7 linked regions of the Tribolium castaneum genome follow. The protein of the gene in region 7 purifies or fractionates together with the protein of the main gene of each other region. This does not show direct contact. Links are inferred from orthologs where the notes say so. Each region holds a gene or a part of one and is shown on either strand. Other genes may lie near its edges.

Region 1 (3,082 bases), on a different chromosome or scaffold from region 7:
TGTCTTTATTACTCGACGTGTGCACACTTTTAAACAACTTATTCATGTTTGTTAATTAACCCGAACTTGTGCAAAATCGCAACAGTTTTATCAACCGCAATACCGTGTCGCACGATTGTGAACAAACCGCATTCTGATAAGTCAATAACGGTGGACGCACGTCGTCTCGAATCGTCAAGTCCTAAATTACCACCGTCAAAAACTGCACCAACCTGAGCCCACAAGTCTTGAAATTCGTTGATTGTTAACGAACTTGGCTCGTTGCTTAAATTGGCACTTGTGAGGGCCAAAGGGCGTCCCAAACCGCGGGCCAAAGCCCGAATAAAGTGATAATCGGGGATTCGAATCCCCACTTTAGCGTTAAAACTGAGTGACTTATCAAGTGTGCTTGCACTAGTCAGAATGACAGTCACTGGGCCTGGGAGCAGACTTTCGAGCAAACCTTGGGGCAAGTGCCCGATTTTGGCCCAAGCCTTCACCTGGGGGACGTCCCCGAGACAGATCGCCACAGGTTTGGCTTCGTTGCGCCCCTTAATGCTATAGAGTTTGTTAATTGAGGTTATGTTCGTCGCGTCACAGGCAAGTCCGTAGACGGTGTCCGTAGGGAGGGCGATCACGCGGCCCGACTTTAACAAATCAACGGCTAAAGCCTCAGCATGTGGGTCCCTGATGGGGACGTGCAATGCCATAGAAGCCCGCTTCGGGGAGAGTTTTTTGAAAAGGGGGGCGAAAAAACGCATCGCCTACTCTCGCCAGTTGTGGGCGCATTCGGGGTTGCAGCAGCGGTAGAAGTTGGTCATGGGCTCGTCAGCAGAGCGGGTCTGGACCTGGAGGAAGTAGGCGTGGGGGTGGCTGCATTCTGGACACGTTTCCGCTGTTACGTCGCAGTTTTTCCAGGCGTCTTCGCCGCCGAGCACGTCATCAACGGACTGAAAGCGTGACGGAGTTGGAACAATGATAGTGGGTTATTTGGGTTTTACCTTCACTTGGAAGTACGTGCGATTCGAGATTTTTCCACGAATGGGGAATGACACGGGGCAGATGCGACACGCAAAACCTAATCGGCCGCAGGTCTGTTGAGCGAATAGCAAATTTCCACAGAAAGGACAAAACACAACCATGACCCGTGATTATTATGATGAAATTCAACTTGAATTCACATGTGTCAAAAATTGACAATGACAGCGCACGGTGGGTTGGCAGCGCTGGGGCGAGGGCACCAACACAAAATTCGTATTCTATTTTATTTAAATTATAAATTATAACAAATATTCAGCCACTTACGGCCTTAGTTATTTTGTCAACTAATTACTTCACTAATTTGCTCCGCTTTTTATATAGTCGAATTAAATAAGACATATTTTCAATTAAAATAAACAAGGACAATTTTACAATGATTAATTTAATTTAAAATAATATGGTTCAAACATTTTCCTATACCACATTACTTAACTAAGTAATAAAAAAATTATAAGAATTACAAAGAAAAATAATTAAAAACGTTGTGTTTTATGGGTTGCCTATACTAAACTCGGTGGTATTGAGCACTTGGTTCATTTTGTTAATTTCGTTTTAAAGGTTTTGATTTTTATCTCTCTCGCTAAATGAGAATTCAATATAATTTTTTCAATTTTCCTGACAAAAAAAATAAACACTATGGTAATTGGTTCAAAATCATTAGGATAATTTACAAGGGCCGTAGCCAGCGTAGGGCCCCACAGGGCGAAGCCCTTCCTAAACAAATTTCAGGTCATACGTTTTATAAAAATTTAAATAGAGAAGTTTATAATATTTTTTTTTCTTTCTTTGTTATTACTTAAGTAAATTTTGAAATAGACATCATTTTAGCTATTTCAAAAACACCATAAACATGGATGTTTTTTATTTTTTAAAGTTGAAGCGACAGAGGGTCATCAGATGGACATGCAACATCAAGTATGCATTTTTTTTTTAAGAAAAATATATCTAGTAATAATTATTACTCCACTTGGATTTTGACTTATTTTTAGCAAAATTTAATAACAAACGAGAAAGGAAATTAAGCTTTATGAATTATGTTAGGGGAAATACCTACAAAATAACATACATCGTTTGGCAAAAGTATGAAGCTAATTGTTATGTGCCTAAACTATGTACTTTAAGAAAAACTAATTATTACATTATCAACTACTTTAAAAATATTTTTTTAATTCCTTTTAGTTTTCGATTTTTTTTTCAAATAGCACCCTACTACGGCAATTTATTTTTATATTATATTTATATTTTTTATATTATTTATATTTTGTTTTTCTTCGTTTGTTATGTATTTTTGATCCTTTATAAACTTCATTAATAATAATTTACCAACATGAGTACATTTAAATTTTCTTTGCCCTTCTATTATTCTATTCTACGAGGGTGGGATGATTAAGTCGTGGCCTCACATAGAAAATAATAATTTGGCCAAACATTTTTTGCTTTACTTTTCACTATAACCTCCTTCTAGTTATGTGCACTTGGTCAATCGGTGTTCCGAAGTCTTTATCCCATCCTTATGGGTCGATTCCGGTAACTCTTCAAAAAAATTGCTCTCTATAAGAGACCACGAATTAATCCATCCTTGTATTGATAATTCAGGGAGAAATAAGCCTCATTTAAAAAAAATACAAAAACTAATTTTTGACACTACAGAAGCGATATGTAGAAGATTTCTTATTACAGTTGAAATACTCAATACAGTCGTTCCTTTTTGATGTTTGATCATTGATCAATGATCATATTCTAACTCACACAGTGCACATTTCCTACAGTGCCGTACTGAGCCTCGGATTCGTGGAACACGGGCCCGGGTCCCGATGGCCCTTTCCTTTGTCTAAATACAAATTAAAAAAAAAATAAAAGTTATAATATTTTTTATTAGCCGTTAAAATTAGATTAGAAAGACAAAAAATTGTTTTGTCTGCTTATGAGTACCAAGACTTTTCAATCTCCCCAGAAAAAATAATTAGAAACGGTGGATTTTCTTTATATTACAGTTACACAGGTATAATACCTACCCAATAAATTACAATTGCCTAAAAACATCAGGTGTACAAACTAACAT
Region 2 (3,297 bases), on a different chromosome or scaffold from region 7:
CGAAGACGGCAAATCGGTACACGACGAACTGGCCAAAAACATCACCGCGCACCCAATCGCCGGCCGGGGAATCCTCGCCAACAACCCGTTTGTCCTCCTCAGCGGCATCATCCCTGGTAATCCCCGGCAGTCGTACCAACCCAATTTTCCCAACACAGTCAATTTCAGGGACGAAGTGGTGCGGCACGGGCGACATCGCCAAGGACTACTACGACCTGGGGGCCGAGCCCACCGTTGATAAGTGCTGCAGAGCGCACGATTTGTGTCCCGTTAAAGTTAGGGCTTTTTCACAAAGATATAACATAACGAATGATTCGTTATACACGAAATCGCATTGTTTGTGCGACGATCAGCTGTATTCGTGTCTCAAGGAAAATCCCTCGCCCACGGCGCACATTATGGGGACCATTTATTTTAATTTAGTGCAAATCCCCTGCTTGGAGGATACGCAGCACGGGAAAGTGTTCAGGAAGCCGAAAGAGAGGTTCTAAGCTCAATCAAGTGCCTAATTTCAATAAATTATTTTAAGTAAAATGGCGTTTTATTTGGATTTGAATTTGGGTGCGTTGGTACGCCTGTCAGAAAATACAGACCCGTAGTTCGTGAACTGTACCACCTTACTGTTATTTTCGATTTTTTAACGTAACTCAAGTTAATATAACGCACTTTTGTGTTGGAAAATAGTGAAATAAGTGATAAAAATTTAAAAAAATCAAGTTATGATAAATTTTGGATTTGGTAGGTTGGTACGTAAATAGTGAAAAGCGGTAATAAAATATAAAAATCGGCAAAATTTCTATCATTTGGGCAATTTCGCACAATCGCATTTTATACAGGACCTTTGAGTTATCATAATATTTGAAATTGGTCCAATTTTCGCCCAACAAAAAATTAGGTTATGTCATATTTTCGCAGTAAAATTCAAGAAAAAACGCTCAATTTCATACTCATAGTGCCATTTGCTATGTTATGATCGACTTTATGTATCAACATTGGGGACAAGAAAATAATTGGGTGAAATAAAACTCAAAAAGTAAGGTTATGTCACTCAAACTTTATTTACAATTAGGAATTAAATAATACATATTTACAAAGACAAAGTCTCGATTTGTTTGATCAAGTCCATGTGTTTGAACTCGTCGGGGCGCTTGGTGAACCGCTCCATCAGTTCCAAGTGTGCTTCTGTGGGCCTTACGTAATACAATTGCAACTGATTTGCGAGACACTGGGCCTCCTTCAAATCAATAACATTCTTGTCGTACTCTCCTCGCATCAAGACGATTTTTTTCTCGTCCTTTAGTTCGGTGTAGTGCGTCATTGTGAGGCACTCGGGGGCGTTCTCCTTGTGCACCTGATAGTACAAAAGGGGGGTAAAGTGGACGCAGTTTCGCTCAAACTGCGACATTATAAACTCGTAACCCTCTTTGCGAGGCAAGGCGAAGAGAAACGTAGGGTATTGGCGCCCCCTTGCCTCCAGTTCGTTGTAATCTTCCACAGGGACAACCGCCGCAATGTAGTTCTTCTGTATGTGGTACTGGTGCCAAATCTCCTTAATTTCCTCCGGGGTTTTATCCTTAATTAAGTCAAGTTTCATGACTTTGTCTAAGGGGGCCTCCGAGGCCTCCACAGAACCGAGCGGTTTTTTCGGGTTTAATAGTTGCGAGAACTTGCCTTCAGTGATCGTTTCGGGCTTCTTTTTCGGGGCTTTGGCCTTCTTGAGTTCGTCCATTCGGGAGAGGAACTCCTGGGGGGAGGTTTTTTGTAGTTTGGCGATTTTGTCCGCGTATTTCTCGTAGTAGGCATTTTTGGAAAGCTCGTCCAAGGCCTTTTCGCACCGCGATTGGGTCGTCATCAGACCTCTTACGAATTTACAGGAGTATTTTGAAAAATATCGCAAAAAAGCTAGGTTAGGAAGCCTGGCCATACTTGTGACAAGTTTAGGGTTTTTTGGATTTGTCACCAATTTGTGGTTCAAAAATTATAAAAATAAAGCAATTTGCACTCTTAATTTTATTATTAAATGCGATGGAAATGTAAGACTAAGTTGCTACGTTTGAGTAACGTATTATTAAGGCGTGTTTTCAGTGTTAATGCAAACAGCGCGACTTTGAGTAATTTCGAGGTTATGAAACACCTACAACGGATTAAGGACAGCCGGAAAAAACACAAGGGGCAATTAGCGACGATTACGTATGAGGTGATTAGATTAAGTGGCCGTAAATGGGCCGACTTTCATTCATCAATTTTTTCGTAGACTTTGCGTTACTTGGAAAATACTCCTTGTGCCCAACAAAGCCCACAGTCAATTACTGAGTGTTTGAAGGACTTGGAGCCGTTTAATTTGAACAAAAATGAGAAATTAATGCTGATTAATTCGCCCCCTACGACGGCTTTAGAGATTCAATTGGTTGGTCTTACGCAAAATTTGACTATTTCTAAGTGTGTTTTCTAGATGATTGAAGAAAGTGAAGAAAGGCTCACGGAAGAACAAGTTGAGCAAATTTTACAGATCGTGCTTCAGCACTTCCCCCACATCCAAAAAAGCCAAGAAAACGAAACAACAGAGGAGCAGGAATAATTTTGTGATTGTATTAGGATAGTAAATAATAAAACACTGGCGTGAAAAACGACATAATGTATTGAGAATAAGTATAAATACACGAATTTATGATAAGTTATCGCTTTTGGTCACCCAAATCCTCAATCAAGTCCTCATCAATCTGCAACAAAAACAAGTGCCCCTATAACTAGTGACTTTTTTCGGTCAGTGTGGTACCTCTGGCCATTTTTCGGGAATCACATCAAACAAATCGTCCTTGACGTCCCCCTGGATCACAATTTCGTCCTCACCTGTGACTGAAGACCCACACGCAAACCTGGTCCCGAAAAATTTCGCCGCAACTTTCAGATCAATATCTACAAAAACGCGTCAAACAAGACACTCAGGGCCCCCTAACCCCCCTACCAAACCCACTAAGCCCCGTAACCACGGTAACCGACTTCTTCTTGCCGCGGGGGGCCCTCGACACACACACCTGCTTCGGCCCGTCCTCCTTCTTCTTCGTCTTGATCATGCCTTTACCCCCACGTTTCTGACGCTTTTTTTCCTCTTCAGCGCCACCTCCCTCGCCCGCCTCGTCCCCGATTTTCACTTTTTCGAACTCATCGGGCAAGTTACGCTCGAGCCATTGTTTGCATTTGTCATACTCGGGGTAATACTCGCAATACTGGGGCAAGAATTAGTTCGGAAGGTCTGAAGGGGCGACAACTAACCTCAATCGGCATCGAACAGTTGCC
Region 3 (4,165 bases), on a different chromosome or scaffold from region 7:
AAATTGGCCGGAGAGGAGTTATTTTTGTGCTAAAAACTTGTAATTTTTTCAGCGCGGGGTCTGGTTATTATTTTTTTTTGGTTAAAAAATGTTATGACCGACTAAACATATTTCCCTCAAAAGTAATTACTTTGTTTGTTAAGGACAATGTGGTATTGTGCCCCATTTCGGGGAAACCCCTCAAAGTAAAAGACTTAATTGACGTCAAATTCACTCCAATCAAGGATTCAGGCGACAAAAAATCCTTAATTGCGAAAGAATGTCGTTACATGTGTGCTGTAACACACGATGTTTTAAGTAACTCAGTTCCCTGTGCTGTTCTCAAACCAACGTAAGTTAATAACTTATTAACAACACTAAATAAAAAAATGACCGTACTTTTAGGGGTGACGTTGTTACGCTAGAATGTGTGGAGAAAATTATAAAAAAAGATTGGATACATCCGCTCACTAGCAAAAAATTGACAGAAAAAGACATCATTGTAATGCAGAGGGTAAAACAGTAACACTTCAATTTGTAACAAAAGTAATGCGGTTTTTATTATAGGGGGGTACAGGCTATGCCCAAACTAATGTGGAACTGGAAGCCAAGCAAGAACGCCCAGCTCTTCAAGCCTGAATTATTTAAAAAAAATTGAGGCATTTACAAAGAAAAGAATTGTGTTTTATATTTTATTTCATGTATTTGTGGAACAATTTTATGAAGAATCCTCTTGTACATGTTTTTTCTTTTTCTTTTTGATTGGTGGTTCAATATCTTCGTCAACTTCCGCCTTACGTTTAGTTTTTTTCTTACTCTTCTTTAAACTTATCTCAGGTTCTGAAATTAGTTGTCAAGAAGTTGTAAGAATTTTTTTTAATAAAAAATTTACCTTCTTTTATTAATGTGTCAAAATTAAGACTCTCGTCATTGAACGACTCATCAAAAATAATTTTTTTCGCTTTCTTCTTACTACTTTTTGTCACTGTCTCATCAAGGTTTTCTTCAAAAACTATTTTATTGTTCGACTCGTTTAATACGTTTGGAGTCGCGTCCAAAACATTGCTACAATTAATTGAATTAAGTTTTGTCTACAGGGTGAGTCTGTTATAAAGTATATTTGTTACTACATCTCAAAAACTAGTCCCACAGAATTCAGCGTTTGCTAGTAAATACTTTATATTTTTTTCTGTGCTTGTGATTTTTTTCAGAATTTTTCTACAATTCCGTACAATTAAAATCAATAAATAAATTAACTAAGCACTACTAATTATCTACATTTTTTTTATTTCCTGTGTCACCTGAAAACAAGCGATGGTTAATTAAATGTTGCTGAAAAAACTGTAACTAACCCCCAAAAAAAATAATTAAGTAAAAATAAAAAATTCAATTATTCGTATAAGAAAGGGTAAACAAATTCTGAAAAAGAAACACATGTATAGAAAAAAATATAAAGTATTTAATAATTTAATAACGCTGACTTTTGGGCGACTATTACTTTTTAAAATATGGTGAGAAATACTTTTAGCAGACTCACTATGTAGTTGTATGATGAAAAATAAACTTACATAATTCTACCTTTAATGTAAGGCAATTTTCCCTCGAAATTTGTTGACGTGATTTCTAGTTGTATTCTACTGCCAGGGTTCAAATTTTCGCCCAACCACTCATGTTTCTTGGGCTTTGGCAAAGACACATTAAAAATTTTATGTACCAGACAACCAACATGATCTTTAGTCTTTTTGTGTACGACACCTTCCAGTATTTTACCTTCCACAGGCTTAAAAATGAAGAATTCGGCCTCAATATCGGCGTGAATGTAGCAAGAATCATCACAGATTTTTCCTGCTTTTGACAACAATTTTGTATTTTTGTAACCACACAGAATCCCATCTAATCTACAAATAAATTATTAAAACTATTGGCAAAACTTTCATTTTTACCCAAAACCTGGCACTAAACTTCCCTATCCTTGAATTGAGGATCTCCTTAACTGAATTATTTAAATCGTTCAAGTGGTAAGGGTGGAGGGCTATGTGTTCCTGGAGGGTAAGTAATTCCACACACGAATTCTTATCCTCAACTAACGAGTTTAATTCGTTTAAATTAAAAGTTTTTAATAATTTTTGTTTTTTCATTTTCGGGGGGCCCACGTGTGGGTATGATAACCTCACTTAATTTTTTTGGAAACCTAACAAATGTGTTATAGTGCAAAAAATGACAAAAATATTAAATGACTTACGTGAAATCACAAACCCACCATTTATTAATATTAATTAGGCCACAAATCCACGATAATATATCACCTCAAGTCACAAAAAATGTGAGGTTACGTAAAATAATTAACCGGTTTTTTACACTTTTATTAATGGTTCTTATCTACTATAGTACACTTATGTAATTATACATGGCAATTGTATTTACTCCATGACCTTTTTTTGAATGTGTTAAAAAATTCTTTTTTTGATTTTTGATTCTGGTGCGCGCTTTCGACCCAATGTGCATTTGATACTCTCTTCTTGTTTCGTGTATTTGGAACCCAGACACTTTTTTGTGTCCTAGTGTTAGTCCTTACGTTCAATTAAAAGAAAACTTGTAGGAATTTGGTGTGTTTTTATATTTTTCAAAAACTCAAAAAAAAAGACTCAAAAACCATAGGATTCTAAGCGCACAGTTTAGTGACTTTCAATTTTTCCAACTCTGTGTCAGTCGTACCAATTATTTCAGGTGTTGACATTTTACGTGTTGTCTCGTTTCAAAAGTGGTAAAGGGCTTGTACAAAGTTAAATACAGTTGATAAATGTTTTAAAACTGTGTGAAATGGATTAATAAACGTAATTATTACAAGGAAACCTCTAAACCGGTGAGTTGTAGATATTATACTGTGATATCAACTCGTTAATAAGTTGGTGGTTCAAGTGGGATATGTTGCTTATTTTTTGTTTTTTAACAGAGATTAACAAAATTATTGCAAGAAATGATGCCAGATTAGTGAGGGATTAATTTTAAAGTTTTTGTTCTAGAGACAAAAACATAAATTTGTGGAACTGGATTCAGTGTTAGTGTTATTGTTTACTGCATGTTGATAGATTTAGTTGATTTCATATTACTTTTTATCTTACTACATCTGTTGTGTTATTTTTGTATGGATTAGAACCACCCAGACTCCGGAATAGATAATAATAATGACTAGATAAGTTGATATCACACAAGTACTTATCTGTTATTTCTAGTGTTTGTGCTAGTGATTGCTAATTATTTCAAGTTTTCCTTATTTATTTTTGTGTTTTTCAAAAATATACAGCTTTTATTGCATCATCTTACAGATAAAAGAACTCGTGAGAAAAATGAGTTTTTTTGATCATATTTCATGTTTCTGGTAAAGTAGTAATAAAACCGATTAAAAAACTTTAGGGACATGTAAGAAGCTAGAAAGGCATCTTAATGTAGTAATAGTAGTATGCCATAAAAATTATTATTATGATGTCATACTTTTTTGTGACACTATGTATAAACAAAAATATTTTTTTGAAATCCTAGAGTATAAATTGTTAAATAATAACTGAGCCACCGAAGATGGAAGCTGGGCTGGACCACCTGTACAGGGTGCTACAGACTTTAAATTTTAAGAAGTTTGAAAAAAAATTGTAAACACTCTGTAGTAATTCAGATCAATCAAACTCAGTTAATAAGCCTGTTAGGCCTTATTTAAGACGTACGTGATAATAATGTCATCAAAAAAGCACTGTTTCTATTTTTTACTAATTTTTAAAAAATAAAGGTGTAAAACCGATTTTTTTGTTTTTTTTTTAACAGCAATCCCTAAACTGAACTAAAAAAACCTTTGAGGACACGAAGAAGCGAAAAAGGCATCTTAATGAGCTCAAAAAAATAATAGCATTCTATTAGAAAAATATACTCAGTGTCATAAAGATTGCAACACCAAGAAGAAATAGAAATTTTTTGATAAAACTTGGCACAAATGTTAGACTTTTAACAGGTATTTAATACAGGGTGACCCAGCAGTGTGTAATCGGTCTATAACTTTTTTACTATTTGAAATATTACTATTCTGTACTAAAAATATTTTTGTTATACACAGGGTGTTGTATACAGTGTGGTGAACTAAAGTTACATTTTTTTAAATGCAACACACTATATATTTTTGCTTAATTCAATTCTACGC
Region 4 (4,698 bases), on a different chromosome or scaffold from region 7:
GAAGCTACTATGAATTGGACTTTGGTGCTACACATCCTGTGTTCAAGCATTTCATCAGTGACTTCCAAAATTTTGTAAATTTCTTCGTGATTGTTTTTTAGTAAACAACTCGCGTCTTCTAACACCAAGTGACACATTCGTTTCAAATTAAAAGTCCGAGATTTAAGGCAATGTGTAAGAGTGCTGGGGATTGTAATCACGATATCAACGCTGTTCTGAAAATAACAAATGACTAAAAAATAGTCAAGCGCGATCATTTGAATTTATAAAAAGAGTAGGTGTTTTTTTCTTTGTGATTGTTAAGCTGGTGCAAACTGAAGGAAAAATCTATTTTAACTGAGTATTACCGTTCGAAACAGTATTATTACTTGACTCTTCGGCTTGATTAATTATGATAATCGGCGTTTTCATATAAGTTAAAAAACTAATAAGCCCACTCTGGTTATAAATTCTAATGATCTCATGATATGTTTCCCTTCACACGATTGGTCGCATTCGTGTTATTGCCATGGTTATCTGCTGTAACTATGGTTACAAGAGAATTTGTCAGTGGAAACCAACAGATGGCCCCACACAATGCGACCAGCTACGTGAAGGGCAAGCTGTGTGACTTACAATGTGGTGGACTGGATATGTCATGAGGGCAATTTTTGGTTTAGTGGCACTATTTTCAAACAGTTTTTTCATCAAATCGTATACATCTTCACAATGTTTGCTGTTTGGACAAATAATAACCACTAACGGGCCCTTGTACTTTGATAATTGTCGATATTTTTCCTCTTCAGCTGTACTGAAGGTACAAAGGGCCGGGAGATACGACATGGTTTTCCCCGACTTAGGCCCCCCTACCATAACAACATTCAATTGTCTGAAAATTGCGGGCCAGACGAATGATTGGATTGGTAAACTATACTTGTAGTTAAGGCGACCCAAAGCAGCTTGAATTTCGTCGCTAAAGTAGGTGTCTGTTAGCAACTTTACAGGCTGGGGGATCACCTCCCTGAAATTATTTTTCAATAATTTTAATTGGTCTAAAGTGGCGCAAAGTACCCGTGAACTAGGGTCTTCAAGTAGCTTTGTTTCTCAATTTTTGTCAATGTGCCAGGATTGAAAGTGAAGATCTTAGGGGTTTTCCCTGGATGTCGTGCCGATCGTAACAAGGGTTGAATCTTCCGCTCTTTGCAAACACGTTTGTGGTGCCCCTCGAACTCCAAATCCGGCGTTGTCCAGTCGGCGCTTTGGGTCCAATGGACGCAGTTCTGGCACTCACACGCCGGTTTCATGAACATCTCTGGATTGTCGATTTCGGGCTCAAAAGTCTGCTTTGGGGCTCCATCACTATCGGAGTGTTTTTGCTCGTCGCTGTCGAAAGGGTCTTTCTCCCTGGTGGCCATTGCGACTGAAAGGCCTTAAGTAGGGCAAAAACGTGTGCAAATTCACAAAAACACACCACAACAAAACACAACAAAAATTATTTAATTCTAGGGACTTCCAAATTTGAATGATGCAACCTGTTGCAAATATGAATAGTCTCCAAAAAGTAATTTTCGGAATTTCGGCTTTAAAACAATTACTGAAACAGTTGCATAACTAATCCCACGGTAAATTGTTACCAAATTCGGGTTTCTTATTGTAATAACTTTGCGAAATTAATTTTAAAAACTCTGGAAAATACGTTAGTTTATTTGGGTTTATAGATTGGTACCACTATTCCATGTGTTTTCGGCGCGTCCTGTGCAACACAACCTCAAAATTTCACGAAGCTGTTAACAAGTTTAACAATTGTTAAACGATGTTTATAGTGGCTGAAATGAAAAATGTGACCCGAATACCCCCCGAACTGTTCAACTTGAAACTAAACGACGCCATAGCCGGAGAATTAAACAAAAAACTAGCAAACAAGGTGAGATTAGAAGCACATTTCAGCCCCTTTTAACCCCCAGTTTAAGGTAGTCCTCAACGTTGGTTTGTGTATAGCTTTATACGACATTACCAGTCTCCAAGAATCGTTTATATTTCCCGGTGATGGGGCTTCACACACTAGAGTCAGCTTCAGGTACATCGTTTTTCGCCCCTTTATTGAGGAGATTCTCGTGGGGAAAATCAGGAGTTGCAGTCAGGAAGGGGTTCACGGTACGACAATTATATTGTGAAATGTTAAATATGATTGCGAATTTTAGTGACTCTTGGTTTCTTTGACGATATTTTGATCCCTCCCAGTGCCCTTCAGCACCCTTCAAAGTTTAACGAAACTGAACAAGCATGGGTGTGGGAGTATGACACAGGAGACGGGTGCAAACATGACCTTTTCATGGATGCTGGTGAAACGATCAAATTTCGCGTAACTGCGGAGTTTTTTAATGAGACTTGCCCCACTGGTAGTTTACAAGAAACACAAGACAAGTCCGAAAATAAAGTGCCGTATAGTTTAACTGTAAGAAAAAAACTTGGGTTTGTATGACTTGATTAAAATTATTTGTTTGTCACAGGGGAGCATAAATGAGCCAGGTTTGGGATTGTTGTCTTGGTGGGATAATTAAGGTAATTAATTTTATGGAAGGGATATAAAGTATGAACGTGTGTAAAATATCATTCTGATTTACTTGCGAAACATATTCTCATTATTTACACCACATTAACTAAATTAAAACTAGGGAAAAGTCGAATCAAACACGAGACAAGGTGACGAACGATACCGAATTAAACCGTAAAATCACAGCTTTCTTGATCAGTAACACATTGTGTGGCGCCATCTGTTGTTATTTTTCTGTCAATTTGTGATTGGTCAAGAAAGCCGTGTGTAAAATAATCGAGTGTTATTGCACAATCTAGTATCAAATATAACAAGTGGACAAGTGGTTCACTTATTCTATAACGAGGCAACGCGGAAGATGTTCTCTCAAATAATCGAAAAGTTCTTTTGATGCCCCTGGACAATTTGTTAATTCTAATTCTCTCATATGTCGTAACTGAATCAGACTTGATAAACCACTAGAAGTCAATAATGGACACCCTGAAATTTCGAATTCAGTTATTTATGTCATTATTTGTGGTATGTGGCAGACCTGCTAACGATAGTATTTGCAAATTTCTCATTCCGCATAAATGCTGAAGTCCAAAGTCTCGAATTTGTGAACACCAGCGCAGATAGAGTGCAGATAGAGACAACATTGTTGAAATGTAACCAATGCCAATGTCGGTGATGTGAACACATCTGTGAAATAAAGCGAATAAAGCGGATTGCGTTTTGATCAGTGGCCACCAGTTATTGCAACTTTAAAAAATACATTAAACACAATGCAAGTGTTTCTGCTAAAAGTATTTTTTACTATATCTCAAAAACTAATAATCGCATAGGAATCACGGTGTGTTGCTTTATATTTAATGTTTTTTTCCACACAAGTGAATTTTTTCAGAATTTTTTACCCTCCCTTATAGAGTTATTTATAAAAATATTAAGATCAGTATTAATAGTAATTAATACTAGTAATTAATATCAGTAATATCAGTAAAAATAAACATAAACTAATGGAAATTTTATTATTTATAGTGTTATCCTGAAACAAGGTTTTGGACAAAAAATTGATAATAAGCTTAATCTACCACCGCAGCATGTATTTAAATATTTTTTAATTAAAAATTAAAAAATAAAAAATTGGGAAAAATTACTTTTAGGATTTTTTGCACAAAATAACATCTTAAAATGCTTAAGAAATAATTAATTAATACAGATTGGAGTTTTATGAGGTTAAAACTTACTTTAATTAGGAAGCAAAAAATATTGGAAAAACAGAAATTACGTGTTAAAATCTGGTATTTTCCGATATATTTTTTTAATTCCTACATCAGGAATAATAAAAACATATTTTTTATTGTAAAACATTCTATTACAAAAACAAACAAAACGAAATATCTTTTGTAAAAAATTTTCTTGTTGAAAAAAATTGTTATTTATTGTATAAGGGTCTTAGATGTATTTTATCTCCGTAAAGATTTAAACTCGAGAAGTAAATTCGAGCGTTTAATTAAGGGGATAAAAAAAGAAGTTAATTAATCGTTTAACTTAAATATTGTTTTAAATTTGCTGGTGTAAAATTGGTTCGTTTTCTGTAAGAATTTCTTTCAACCAAAAAATGAACTCACTGTATCTATTTTTTATAAAAAAAAATTACACTACTTTAAACATTACAACATTAAAAAGTAATTTAGTCTGCAACTAGCATTTTTCCCTAGAAAGTAGAAGATACTGAAAATGAGAAACACTAATAATTGAAACACACAGTCTAAAATAAAAAATCAATATACTCGTATTAAGAGACTGAAATGCTAAAATGCTTACAAGCTGAATTAAAAAAATAAAAAAATAGTGAAATTGAATTCTATACACGGTGATTCAAAAGTACCGTACAATTTCTTGGGTGCTGAATTAAAAGTTCCTATGACAAAAAATTGTTTGAACCCTCTTTCACGAGATTTAGGTCTTCAAACTTAAATTTTTAAGTTAATTTTTGTTTCATATCATACTTTTTGACTTTCGTTAGCGAGCTCTTGCAACATTAAACAAATACAAATTAAAAAAAACAACAATTAATGTATAATGATGTGCAAAACAATTAAAAACTTGTAATTTCAACAATAAATTAAATTCAATAACCTAGAAAACAAAAGAGCAATAATCGATACCGTTGCTAAGGAAAA
Region 5 (4,758 bases), on a different chromosome or scaffold from region 7:
AATAGGGGTCGCTCTTTTCAAAATCAATTATTTGTTCAGTTCTCAGGAATTTATTTTTTTCAAAAACGGAAACAGTAGTTTATCAATTATCAGATATTATGAAATAGGTGTGTTAGAATCAAATATTTATCTGAAATTGCATTCAAACATTTTATCAGCAATTGCCATTGTAAAAGTTTATACACAACTTCATTTCTCGCCGATTATTATACAATTTGTTCGTTTAATTAAAGCAACAGAACATATAATCCGACTATAAAGAAAAAATAATGACTATTTTTCCTTGTTAAACAAATTAATTATGTAACAATACATTAATTTCAAAGGTGTCAGGAGATAAATAAACAAGCCCAGACAGTTTAATCTCCAGTTAATAGACAGATTAATCATTATTATTTAAATTATTATAATTACAGTATGCAAATGTTGGTTTAAAAGTAAATGTAGTCCTTACTTAGGGAACTGGCATTTGATTGTTTAGCCATATTTTTGGGCAAACATTGGTATCAGTTAATTCCAAAAAGATAAGGTTTTTTTTAAGAAAAAGACAGTTTATCGTGATTTGAAGATATTTTTGGTTTGTTAACAACTAGTTCTAATAACTTCAGGTCTAGACAATACAGACGAGGGCGTGATGTCAAGGGGTTGGAGAGCTTAATTACTATTTCCCCTACACGTAACCGGTATGGTTTGAACAACATAATTAACTTGTACAGAAAAATGCACCAGAAATTTGAGGAATGAAAATTGTTTAATGACAGACATTAAAGTAATTTATTTTAAATATTACTTAACTTTTCAACTCATTAAAGTGTCTTTATCAAGCAATAACTCACCGAGGACACTTTTATATCTTTATGGTTTTTAGAAATGCAGGACTATAAATTTAATTAAAACCACTCGCCAGGCATTAGACTTCTAGGTAAATAATTTAAGTAGAGAAAATCCCACTTACCCCTCGTACAGGTAGACGACACTTTAGACCGACTCTAGTTATTTCATTATTTTTTGCTCGTAAAATAAAATTCACTGTGACTTTAATTCATTAGATGCTGTCACTGTCACATGAAACGTCGAAATTTTAAAATTTCTGACAGGATCTAGACGGCGAGACGAGAAAATTTAGAACATCACAATCCACCGGCGACTAGACACGCTGTGTGAGCGATGTTCAGTTGTTTCTACAGCACGCTTTCGCTATCGAATACACGGGAGGATAAAGCACAAAAAGAGAGTGGGAGTAGGTAAGCTTTTCCATAGGCTGCTGCAGCTTCCGAGGCGATCGATGATATTTTCTTCAGGCGACTTATGCTTCAATAAACATTTAAATTAAGTTTGGGGGCGGCGCAGATCATATCAGAATGCCATTGTCATCAAGTGGCCTACGACGATCGAATTAAATTGGCAACATTGGGCTCTTCAATTTCGTGTCAACGTTGCCAACTTAATTTCAAGTCTTAGGCTACTTTGGGTAAAATATTCAGGTTTAGGAGCCACCACAGTTTCATATTTTTTTAATGAGTTAAAATATGTTAAATCTTCTTTTGTGGTGGGTTTTGAGAATCACTGCCGGTTTATTCATGGCATGAAGGAATTCGGTTTAAATCGACCGGTATCATTTGTCATGCGTGCAGTTTTTGTTACCAAGCCGTCTAGCTCCCCTTCCTGTCACATCTACTTAGGCAATAATTTATGGACCTGCTGTATATGACTGGGTTAAAAAACTTGATATTAAATTTTTTTCTGGATTATTTTACGTGACTTGCTACTTTTATATTGATTTACTAATTGAATTGATGTCATTTGTTTATGACTTTTTTGTAGTAACGATTTGAGGGTGTGGCGGAGCCAACATTTTGTGCAATTATTCACATGTGTGACCTTAAATTTGTTTATTCAAATTTTATTTACTTTATTTTTTAATAAGCGGATTTGTGTTTTGAGTAGTCGTGATTTAAGCCACCTACAAGTCCACGTGTTTTTTTTAATAAAGTAGTAAAGTCGAGTTGCAAGTACAATTTATAAGTAAACCATCATCGGAGTTGCACAATGGTAAAGTCAAAACGACATAAATTATATGAATAATTTGTAATTAATTGAATTATGAACAATCTCATAAATATGGATTCGTAAACCCACAAGCCGACGACGCATCTGTTTCTATAAATCGCACCTCATCATCACCTTCTGCTTATAAATTTTTAATAAACTTATTTGTAAACAATTTAAAAATTGCATATGGAGGTTACACCTTCTTAGCGCCTATGCCTAATGAATTTTTCACGAGACTCAATTACAAAATTATTATTGAAAAATTTCAAAACTGAATTGAAGGCCCGATGCCTGTATGTAATTAGGATTATTTATTGCCAATAATTTACATCAGTTAATGGACTTGTGGCAGGTTTTTTAACAATAAATCAATTCGATTGCCGATTTAAAAATGTATTTAGGCAAGCGTTTGCATATTTAACAATAAAAAAAGTTTATTATTCAGGATTCAAAAACTGCTTATGCAACCAAATATATAACAAGTGTATGGCCTAGACGAAGCAAATGAAACTTTTAATTCCAACTTAAAGTAATTCGAATTAGGTTGCTTTGCACTAAGAAACAATAAATTAGTTCCTAATTAAATTAAATTAAAACCCACGGACCACTGATTATTTTCCCGGTAACAAAGAAACCTGTATTTCTACATTTTGACAAGCAGCCTAACCTAATTTTTTCTAAGTAATCACATTGCAATATTTTTTATTTGATCCCGATGTCGATTCAATACGGAAGGGTAGTTTCCCTTATTTTACTCGAACGTTTCGGCCCCGTGGTCGAGAAGGTGGGCACTTACTTGTTTCAGTACGGAACTGTGCCCCTTCTGTACATCAAAAAGCACACAGATTTGCCCATATCTAAGGTATTTTAAATGAAACTGTGCACTTTTTGCCCCTTATTTTATTAATTGTAGGTCAAGGAAGCTTTATGTATTTTAATAAAGTACAGATTGGTCACGTTCACCCCCAATCGCAATGAAAACGTTGCAAATTATACACTGCAACATGAGCGTGTTTTATTAATGTTGCGCTACGCCAAATACATTAATTTAATTAAAAAGAAATTTGGGACTGAGTGTGAATTAATTATGGAAGAATTGCTACAGCGGAGCTACTGGACGGCGTCTGAATTAATCCTGAAAGTGATTGAGAGACTGAAAAAAGATCATAACAAAAACGTGACAATTTTAGCTTTAAGAGAAAAATTTTTTTCATTGTTGGCCGCGCAATATTTGATACGGTTGCCGTATAGTATGGAAGATAAACCTGTTCCTAGTTTAGTGATAAAAGAGACGGAACAGTTTGCACCTCCGACAATTGATTTTAAACAAATTGCCTTAGTTCAGAGCAATAAAGCACCAGTGGATTCTCTCCCTGACCAGGGCGTTTACTGGACTGTTAACTTCGATAGGTTTCATCAAGACATGAGAGACAAATTAATTGTGAATGCTTTTATTAAAAAGTTTGACGAAAACGCGGGTGAATTTGTCAGACTTTTGCTACAACAAATGTACATTAGGACACAGCCTTGGGCTGAGGTCTCGAATCCAGTCCCTATTGTTGAAATTCGGGACCTTGTAAGGAAACAAGCCACTCATCAACACCTTTTGGCGTTTTTTGACCAATACGTTAATGTCTTGGGTTAGTCATTAGTCGTTAGTCAAAGTTGTTGCCAGTCCAAATATTTTTTTTTAGAGCAAGACAGTTCTAAATTAATTAGACAGTCGGGAGAGGCAGGTGGCGGTTCTTTTCAAATTTTTCTGAAAGAGACGTTCACTCAATTTGCATGGGAGACTGTGGAACAGATAGTTTTGGAAAAATTCGATACTAAAGCCGCCCGGATTTTCCGTCTTGTTAAGTCGAAACAATACATAGAACCGGATCAGATTCAACAACTGGCAATGATTCCGGCTAAAGAAGCAAAACGGCTCTCTTATCAGCTCCTGGAAGAGAATTTTTTGCAAGTCCAGGATTTGAAAAAATCGACCAGTAATGGTCCTAATAAAAGCTTCACTTTGTTTTATACAAACTTGGACCAAATCGTGCGAATGACTCTAGAATTGTGTTATAAAACTTTATTTAATATTATGACTAGAAAAAATCACGAAAGGTTGGTTCATAAGAGAATTATCGATAAGAAACAACGTGTTGACACGATTATTATGGGGATGAGGGCACAGGGGGCGGCAGACGAGCAATTATCTGACGTAAGTTTTTCTTATTTTTATATTTTGGCCGTGGTTAGCCGTCTGCACATTTGTCCGAACAATATTATTGCGGATAAATAACCGACAAAATATCTGTCCGCACATGTCTGTATAGGAGCTCACATTGTTAAATTTATATAATCTTTAGTAATATTATTTTAAGTACTCTTTCAATTGATTATTTTTTGACGATTATGAAAGCCAGAAAATCATTCATTTTCATATGGTTTACTTAACATCTGCTACCAGTAATTTTTTGGAATAAATTAAATGCTGGGTGAAAATAGTAATTGTTAGGTAAAAAATAAATATAAACGCTGTGTGAAAACATAAGTTCAACTGAAGATAATTTATAGTATTTAAGAAAAAAAAATCAATTTTTTTTATTAATTAGAAGAGGGGCTACTACTTTTTATTTTTTAGAGAGGTTTTTAATCAAATTTTTACATCAAAAATTGTTTGACTAGCATAGCAAATATCTACCTTAGCAAGTGGATGTT
Region 6 (3,391 bases), about 2.5 Mb from region 7:
ACTTGATTACCGATATATTGCGCCCAAAATTTGTTAATTTCGAACAACTGCAAAAGCGAGACTATGGGGGCCACCAAAATCGAAATGAACAAGGGGCCGATGAACGTCCGCGGCACCACTCCGGGGAACTCCAAATGGTCGTACTAGAAACACAGTTATTTGTGGGCGAGACAAGGGGCGCCTACCTGAGACAGGTTCCACTTGTGGTACAAAATATCGTGCATGGCCTGTAAATTGAAGCTTTCCTCCACTTTGGTAAATGGGCAGTATACCAAATGGGCGGCGGCGATAATTAGCATTATTTGCACCATTTCGGGGGCTAATTTTTATCTACATTCTTGAATTTTGGACGAAAATAGATTCACCTAACCTACAATTTCAAATGAGCTGACGTAAATAAGCTAAATTTATTTTATCTCTTCGGTCCGGAACTGGGATCATTGTGCTGGGTTTGGGGTTTAGGGCGCCTTGAGACAATTTTACCATCAAATTACCAACAATAGGGGCAATTTTTATTATTTTGAAACGGTCGGACACGTAATTTGTTACGTAAACAATAATAAAAAGTGTGAATTTGAAGTGATTTTGAAGTGTGAATAAAACAAATTTTGTCTATTTATTATTATCCTACTTTATTTATTTCCTTTTCATTCCCATTTTTTCGAAACATCGGCATAATCACCGTCCGGGCTTTCGTAATTGTCGATAGCTGGCGTTTCCAAAGGCCCCTCGCTCTTAAAGGGCAATAATCTGAAATCAATCTGGACAAAAAAATATATTTTGCGAAAAAAAGCCCCAGTCACCTGCATTGCTTCCTGATACAACTCCTCCGACTCTTTCCGCAGCTCATCCAAGGCTTTTTGTTGCGCAAAGAAAATCCGGTCCAGCATTTGGACGTCCGTAAGATGCTCATTTTTCCGATAAGTGGCCCATTGTTTGTCCAAAAGTGCTCTTTGTTCCAATTCACTGTCAGAAAGTGCAGGCAAAGACCTCATCCTTGATTTTTTCTCATCTAACAGAGTGAGGGGCACTTCACACTCTTCGATAGGTTTGAACTGGCGCGCGTGCTTCTCCAATCGCCGGATTTGCTTCTCAATTTTCTTCTTCTTGCGGTCTTCTCGTGCTTTAATAACTGCAGGGTCTAGTTTTTTCTTCTTCTTCAAAGGCTCGGCCCTAGATAATTGGTGAATTGGGGGCCTCGTTTCGTTATTACTTACATGAGACATGGTGTTGCCCTAAAATTGAGAAAGACACTCGTTGCAATTCCCCGTCTTGGGCACGACTGGAGGGCTAGCCTAAAAAATGTCACAGTTAGTGCCAATTACTCCAAACTTATACCACACCTATTAAATGTGTTTATCAAAGACCAGGCGCTCATTTCTTGCCTTTTTTCCTAAAAAAAATCGGCAAAAATAGAAATAGGCCAAAATTTTGAGGTTAGAACATAACCTCACATAACCCCAAAAATGAGCCAAGCTACGAGTTCAAACAGCGAAGAGATAAGTAACGAAGACCGTTTACTGGAATTAGCCAAGGCCAAGCCTGAGGGGATTTCAAACGAGAACATAAAACAGGCAATTCCTAATTTACCCCTCGAAGAACTCGCCCTGATAATCAACAAGTGTTTAAAAAATGGGTTCGTGGGCGCAATCACCCCCTAATTCTATTCCTAACCAAAATTTTCAGTTCCTTGGAGTTGTTCAAGACCAAAGACAAGCTCCTCTACAAATACAAAGACTCGTCGAAGAAGCCCGCCATTCGGGGGGCCGACAACGAGGAAAAAGTCGTGTTTAAGATAATCGAAGAGGCTGGCAACAAGGGCATTTGGATTCGAGACATTCGCTTCAAGTCCAACCTCAACATGACGCAACTAAACAAAGTCCTCAAAAGTCTCGAGACGAAAAAAATAATCAAAGCCGTAAAGTCAGTCTCGGCCAGTAAGAAAAAAGTGTACATGTTGTACGACTTGGAGGCCGACAGTTCGGTCACGGGGGGCGCCTGGTACCAGGACCAGGACTTCGAGTCGGAGTTTGTGGACGTTTTGAGCCAACAGTGCTGCCGGTATTTGCGCCAGAAGTGGGAGGATGCGAACAGCATGGGGGGCGGCCCGCTCCTGGCCCGAAACCGGAGCTACGCCACGGCGCAAGACGTCCACAAATTTATTTCCGAGCTGGGGATTAGTAAAATTTCGCTGTCAGTGGACGATATTGAGAGCATTTTGTATACTGTTGTTTTGGATAATAACGCGGAGCGGATTGTGGCCACGAACGGCTCGTTTTTGTACCGAGCGGTCAATAAATTTATGCAAACACCTGGCATTGTGACAACCACTTGTGGGGTTTGCCCCATAGCCAGCAGGTGCGCCGATACCGGTTTTATTAACCCGAAAGTTTGTAATTATTTCACGGAATGGCTCGAATAAAGTGTTTCGCAACAAACTGGTGTTTTTTTTATCCCGTATTAATTAATTAAGGTTATGTTTGTGGGGGAACATAACCACAAAAAAGTGTGGAACATTTTGGTGGTCGCAGGTTTTTTAAATGTCCGTTCTTGGGCACAGCTTTTGGCAGTCACCTGCGCTCCGCGCATGCGCCGGAGCCCCGAAGCCGAAGAGGTTGTCTGTTTGTCATGAATGGTGTGAGAAACGCAATTTTATTGCGGAAATTTTCGGTTAGTTCGCTTTGAATCTCGCCATTTCATGTCAGATTTGGTTGCTAATCCATCAGTGTTGCGTTGTGTGTGTTGTAAATGTGGGAGCAATTCTGATTAGACTTGTTGTGGAGTCGTGAGTTTTCCCTCCAAATTGCGATGCCTCTTTTGAGGAGAAAGCCCTTCGAAAAAGCGCCGGTCCCGGAGGATATCCGCGATGACGAGGAAGTTTTCTACTGTGGGGCCACCAACGAGATTTTCCGGGATTACGAGTGAGTTTTTGCGGCGGGTTATTTGGAACGTGGTTGCTTTCAAACGCTTGACCTAACGGTCCACTGTACCTACGCCATCGACCTCAAATTTAACGCAATCGGAGATCGGAATCGATTCAACGCTTGGCTTTTCAGGGACTTCTCCGAGAGGATGTTCCTGTGCAATTCGATGATTTGGACATGTGCGATGACGGGAAAACCGAATTTAACGTATGCCGAGGCGCTGGAAAGCGAGGAAAACGCGAGGAAAAGCCTCAAAGAGTTCCCAGCTGAGCTCAAAATACCACTCCTGTACTTGGCGAGTCAGACAAAACGGACGTCCTTTGTTGACATGGCCGAAGACGTGTACTTGTTCACCAAAGACAGGTACTTTATCGGCGAAAACGTGGAAACCTCGTTCACGGAAACCAAGTGGAAGGACTCGCACGTGCTACAAGTCATACCGCCCCCAAACAAACAAACCAAATCGC
Region 7 (3,603 bases):
GCTCGCAGTTTTGGCCTACACCATAACTATTGACAAATACATGCCTTCGGCCCTTGAAGCAATAAGAAAAGTTGCCACTTGTCCGTTCTGGTCGGCTCGTGCGGTTATAACCGAATTCATGTCCGGTTTTGTATTCCACAATATGCCCACGATTATTTCGAAAAAGGAGTGGGTACTAGATATACAACACATGGTGCTAGAACTACTCGAAGATGTTCAACCTGAAGTTAGAGTTAGTGCTAGTCAAGTTTTAAGCGGTCTTTTGCACTGCCAATTTATTCCAAACCCTCAAGAATTATTAGTAATTATTCGGGTTCTTAGTTTATCGTTAAATAATTCGTGAATTCTAGGCGCAATTTAAACAGAAAGCGAAAACTAAATTGAAGAAGAAAAATTTGAACAATTCAAACAGTTTGAATCTTAGTACTTTAAGATTTAGACATGCTGGAGTTTTGGGCTTGTGTGCTTTTATCAATAGCCATCCATACGACGTACCTGACTTTTTACCGGATGTTTTTGGACAATTAGGACCCCATTTGAACGACCCCCAACCCATTCCTGTGAGTCACACTTTCGTCGTTTAAAAAAATAATTAATAATTTTTAGGCAACAATTCGCAAAACCTTGGGAGATTTCAAGCGAACGCATCACGAAAACTGGGAAATCCACAAACTCAAATTTACTGAGGAAGAACTGTTAGTTTTAAGTGATCTCACAGTGCCTCCCAGTTATTACGCCTAGGCAATAATTTTCCGATTCCAGTCAATTTACAATTTAATTTTTTACTAGACAATAGGTGAAGGAAGGTTTAAGGTAGCAAAAATTTACGCGTCAAATGTTTTTTATTTTTAACCTTGTTCATTATATTTTTTGTGGTTTGATAAAAGTATATTAAGTGAAATGTTTATACATGACTTAATTCATCTAATAAAGCAAGACATTTGTCTTTTAATATTTTAACAGCTTCCATGAATATCACATCAGGTGGTAAAGCCCCCACAGATTCGACCGTAACTAAATTACAATTAATAAAAACTGAAAAAGTAAATAAAAAAAAACTTACAAATGAAATGATCCTGAATTTTGGTCATCGCTACTGCGTCCTTGAGGTCTTCATAACGGAAAACATTCCGACTTCCTGTATCATACCTCGCATTAGCTACAACAGCGTATTTGCGGCCTTTTTCATGTCGGATTGAAATCACACCGGGAGAGAAACATTTTTGGAGTCTCTCAGCTGCTTCACCTTCCACTTCTCGTAATAATTTTATGTCGGGAAGAAGGCGATAAAATGCGGTTGCGACAGGAGAAAATTTCGCATGGTCTCGCCCGTTGCTCTTGACTGCTAATAATTTTAAATCTAACTCATGGCCTGGCCTCATTTTGGCAATGAGAATGTCAGGGTGGATGGGGCCCACGTCACTAAACCGCTCCTTCTGTTTACCAATGGGCACCCATTTGATGTGTTTTGAATACACTAAAATTATTGCAATTTTTATTGTTTCTCAAACGGGGTAATTACCATTATTGTTTTTGTACATATCTTCAGCTCGCAGTGAGTCTTTACTGCTGTCTTTATTATTGGTACATTTAATTTTTAACGCAAACTCTAGAGTATCCTGTTCGGTACCTTCAGCAGTTGCTGTAAAAATATTGTAACGTTTGGAACGGCAACATTACAAGACTTACGATCAGTTTTCATTTCAAATAATCGGGGGTCGGCCTTTAGCGGTATCAGGCCTAAACGATGGGCCAAAACTTCGTCTTGGATTATAGACGTGTTATTAAGAATGTGAACCTTTTCAATGGCCATTGTGGGGACATCACTCAACATTAACCTTCTGAAAGTGTTTGCTAGGAACGGGTGAATCCCTATCAAGTCAAATTCGAGTTCATTCTCTTCACTTCGCACAATCACCACCCTAAATCTCTTCTTAAAGGTTTTCAAGTCCCATTTCTCGTCCAAAACAGTTGGTTCCGAGGGCAAATTCTTCAAAGGATGTTTGAAGGAATTTAATACAAAATAATAAAGGACATACCTGCGTCACTTTATATTCTCCTAAAATCACTCGAGGCTTTTCGTCATTCAGAATATTATCCATTTTAAACTTGTTTCAAAAACTTGGATAACCTCAAACAACGCACGTTTTTCGTAAAAATGACTACCAACCTTACCGTCCTTACCACCCAAAAGCCACTTAAAATGTCAGCTTTTTAGGTTATGTTTTGTGAAAAATATAAACAATTTTTGAAAAATATGACGAAACCCGAATGCTCCAAACAGGAAGCTTCAAACACGAAAAGCAAGGCTGAAAAAGACTCACAAATAAGCACACCTGAAACGGCTAAGGCTCTGTTTGCCGATTTTGTGCCAGAAGAGTCAGACAGCGAAGAAGAAAATGAGAAACAAGACGACAAAAAAGACGAAAATCTTGAACCAGCGTCAAAGAAATCACGAGACAGTAACTCGAAGGTAAGTCACCAGTACACCAAATGAAAAACCAACCACCTTCCCGCAGAAATACATACCAAAGTACAAAAAAGAATGGGAGAATAAACCCGAATTGAAAGCATGGTTATCAGAGAGCATACATGGAAATACGTATTTCTACTGCAAATTCTGTAAAAAGGATTACAGATGCGGGATTTCCGACATTCACAAACACATGTCGTCAAAGAAACATGCCCTCAAAGCGGCAATGCCTGCATTCAAGGCACAGAAATTTAAATTTCGGGGGCTTTTGTGCCCCGTCTTTACCCCATTTACTAACTTAAAAAGAGTGACACCTGATGTAAACCTTAAGGCTATACCAAAATACGCAAATTTTTTAAAAGCTTGCAATATTAAAGGAATTTTAAGTATTTCGCAACTCTAGAAAATGAATTAAATTAAATGGTCAATTTTAGTTAATGACATAACCGGGGAAGGAATGTCCTTAACCATTCATGAAAGAATAGATTTGGCGGACGCGTGGGCTGACGCTTGTGAAAAAACAAATCAGTTTTTGATGGCACAAATCGGGGGAGCCCCCCTCAAAGACGTTATAGAAATGGTAGTTTAAACATTTGTTAAAACTGTTAATATTTTTCATTTGTAGGCAAAACACGCCGCTAAGAGGGACATCGGCGCTGTTGTAATCCTCCCCGACCTTTACAACAAACCAAAAAACCACCTAGACCTAATCAAGTACATAAAATTAATATCAGAATTTACAAAAAACGTCCCCATTCTCTATCACCACAATCCCAAGTTTACGCAAGTTGAAAGTAAGCGTTTCGAACGATGAACAAGACACGAAAAAATTCATTTTTAGTTGATATTACGTCGTTTCTGCTGGATATAACGGGAGAAGTGGATTCGTTTGTAGGCGTCATTTATAGCACGAATGATATACAACAGAGCACCGCTGCTATGGCGGTAAATAGGGAAAAGTTTACCGTTTTTATGGGCACCGACGAAGTAGGGGCTTTATGGCCATATCTCCCACTTAATTTCCACTTTTAGGCAATTTTGGGGGCTGCTGCGAGCGGTTTTACGTGTATTATGGGCACAAGTCTGAACTTTTTACCAAAACTGGTTGAATCCATTTGTGTGGCTGTGCG

Evidence for each region.
Region 1: the proteins of Polr1C (region 7) and Polr3K purify together in Homo sapiens (affinity purification with mass spectrometry; 4 studies listed by BioGRID and IntAct, counting the BioPlex papers as one, with this or other methods). This does not show direct contact. The link is inferred for Tribolium castaneum from reciprocal best matches to the Homo sapiens genes POLR1C and POLR3K.
Region 2: the proteins of Polr1C (region 7) and Polr3I purify together in Homo sapiens (affinity purification with mass spectrometry; 5 studies listed by BioGRID and IntAct, counting the BioPlex papers as one, with this or other methods). This does not show direct contact. The link is inferred for Tribolium castaneum from reciprocal best matches to the Homo sapiens genes POLR1C and CRCP.
Region 3: the proteins of Polr1C (region 7) and Polr1F purify together in Homo sapiens (affinity purification with mass spectrometry; 3 studies listed by BioGRID and IntAct, counting the BioPlex papers as one, with this or other methods). This does not show direct contact. The link is inferred for Tribolium castaneum from reciprocal best matches to the Homo sapiens genes POLR1C and POLR1F.
Region 4: the proteins of Polr1C (region 7) and Polr3H purify together in Homo sapiens (affinity purification with mass spectrometry; 5 studies listed by BioGRID and IntAct, counting the BioPlex papers as one, with this or other methods). This does not show direct contact. The link is inferred for Tribolium castaneum from reciprocal best matches to the Homo sapiens genes POLR1C and POLR3H.
Region 5: the proteins of Polr1C (region 7) and Polr3C purify together in Homo sapiens (affinity purification with mass spectrometry; 5 studies listed by BioGRID and IntAct, counting the BioPlex papers as one, with this or other methods). This does not show direct contact. The link is inferred for Tribolium castaneum from reciprocal best matches to the Homo sapiens genes POLR1C and POLR3C.
Region 6: the proteins of Polr1C (region 7) and Polr3F purify together in Homo sapiens (affinity purification with mass spectrometry; 4 studies listed by BioGRID and IntAct, counting the BioPlex papers as one, with this or other methods). This does not show direct contact. The link is inferred for Tribolium castaneum from reciprocal best matches to the Homo sapiens genes POLR1C and POLR3F.

What each region holds. Positions count from the first base shown.
Region 1 is NC_087403.1:7,844,150-7,847,231, reverse strand, and holds Polr3K (DNA-directed RNA polymerase III subunit RPC10), read right to left. Parts: upstream 1,207-3,082; 5' UTR 1,122-1,206; coding exon 981-1,121; intron 930-980; coding exon 744-929; 3' UTR 741-743; downstream 1-740. Other genes in the region: Plekhm1 (pleckstrin homology domain-containing family M member 1), read right to left, coding at 1-46; Tcs1 (threonylcarbamoyl-AMP synthase), read right to left, coding at 39-740. UniProt on the Homo sapiens protein: Core component of RNA polymerase III (Pol III) which synthesizes small non-coding RNAs using the four ribonucleoside triphosphates as substrates. Can mediate Pol I proofreading of the nascent RNA transcript.
Region 2 is NC_087399.1:3,366,452-3,369,748, forward strand, and holds Polr3I (DNA-directed RNA polymerase III subunit RPC9), read left to right. Parts: upstream 1-1,924; 5' UTR 1,925-2,025; coding exon 2,026-2,033; intron 2,034-2,085; coding exon 2,086-2,197; intron 2,198-2,254; coding exon 2,255-2,407; intron 2,408-2,452; coding exon 2,453-2,578; 3' UTR 2,579-2,674; downstream 2,675-3,297. Other genes in the region: ATP synthase mitochondrial F1 complex assembly factor 1, read right to left, coding at 1,088-1,924; DENR (density-regulated protein homolog), read right to left, coding at 2,676-2,720, 2,777-2,916, 2,966-3,227, 3,274-3,297. UniProt on the Homo sapiens protein: DNA-dependent RNA polymerase catalyzes the transcription of DNA into RNA using the four ribonucleoside triphosphates as substrates.
Region 3 is NC_087394.1:6,583,138-6,587,302, reverse strand, and holds Polr1F (DNA-directed RNA polymerase I subunit RPA43), read right to left. Parts: upstream 2,471-4,165; 5' UTR 2,222-2,470; intron 2,171-2,221; 5' UTR 2,118-2,170; coding exon 1,930-2,117; intron 1,878-1,929; coding exon 1,548-1,877; intron 1,045-1,547; coding exon 872-1,044; intron 820-871; coding exon 698-819; 3' UTR 658-697; downstream 1-657. Other genes in the region: nitric oxide synthase-interacting protein homolog, read left to right, coding at 144-331, 385-493, 547-618. UniProt on the Homo sapiens protein: Component of RNA polymerase I (Pol I), a DNA-dependent RNA polymerase which synthesizes ribosomal RNA precursors using the four ribonucleoside triphosphates as substrates.
Region 4 is NC_087394.1:25,643,977-25,648,674, forward strand, and holds the start of Polr3H (DNA-directed RNA polymerase III subunit RPC8), read left to right. Parts: upstream 1-1,698; 5' UTR 1,699-1,792; coding exon 1,793-1,903; intron 1,904-1,949; coding exon 1,950-2,133; intron 2,134-2,180; coding exon 2,181-2,434; intron 2,435-2,489; coding exon 2,490-2,540; 3' UTR 2,541-2,541; intron 2,542-2,582; exon of another isoform or gene 2,583-2,864; coding exon of another isoform or gene 2,865-3,013; intron 3,014-3,065; coding exon of another isoform or gene 3,066-3,214; intron 3,215-4,698. Other genes in the region: putative ATP-dependent RNA helicase TDRD12, read right to left, coding at 1-215, 616-1,000, 1,051-1,394; F-box/LRR-repeat protein 16, read right to left, coding at 2,865-3,013, 3,066-3,214.
Region 5 is NC_087402.1:6,496,529-6,501,286, forward strand, and holds the start of Polr3C (DNA-directed RNA polymerase III subunit RPC3), read left to right. Parts: upstream 1-1,532; 5' UTR 1,533-2,767; coding exon 2,768-2,914; intron 2,915-2,965; coding exon 2,966-3,692; intron 3,693-3,746; coding exon 3,747-4,258; intron 4,259-4,758. UniProt on the Homo sapiens protein: DNA-dependent RNA polymerase catalyzes the transcription of DNA into RNA using the four ribonucleoside triphosphates as substrates.
Region 6 is NC_087396.1:20,820,910-20,824,300, reverse strand, and holds Polr3F (DNA-directed RNA polymerase III subunit RPC6), read left to right. Parts: upstream 1-1,466; coding exon 1,467-1,636; intron 1,637-1,686; coding exon 1,687-2,422; 3' UTR 2,423-2,438; downstream 2,439-3,391. Other genes in the region: Alg12 (dol-P-Man:Man(7)GlcNAc(2)-PP-Dol alpha-1,6-mannosyltransferase), read right to left, coding at 11-143, 186-311; mRpL40 (large ribosomal subunit protein mL40), read right to left, coding at 648-761, 804-1,173, 1,218-1,295, 1,344-1,378; Acf (bromodomain adjacent to zinc finger domain protein 1A), read left to right, coding at 2,809-2,921, 3,057-3,391. UniProt on the Homo sapiens protein: DNA-dependent RNA polymerase catalyzes the transcription of DNA into RNA using the four ribonucleoside triphosphates as substrates.
Region 7 is NC_087396.1:18,341,002-18,344,604, reverse strand, and holds Polr1C (DNA-directed RNA polymerases I and III subunit RPAC1), read right to left. Parts: upstream 2,215-3,603; 5' UTR 2,103-2,214; coding exon 2,040-2,102; intron 1,991-2,039; coding exon 1,690-1,990; intron 1,643-1,689; coding exon 1,523-1,642; intron 1,478-1,522; coding exon 1,064-1,477; intron 1,015-1,063; coding exon 905-1,014; 3' UTR 824-904; downstream 1-823. Other genes in the region: proteasome activator complex subunit 4, read left to right, coding at 1-301, 351-560, 607-741; N-acetylneuraminate lyase A, read left to right, coding at 2,222-2,473, 2,520-2,859, 2,908-3,053, 3,099-3,267, 3,315-3,460, 3,506-3,603. UniProt on the Homo sapiens protein: DNA-dependent RNA polymerase catalyzes the transcription of DNA into RNA using the four ribonucleoside triphosphates as substrates.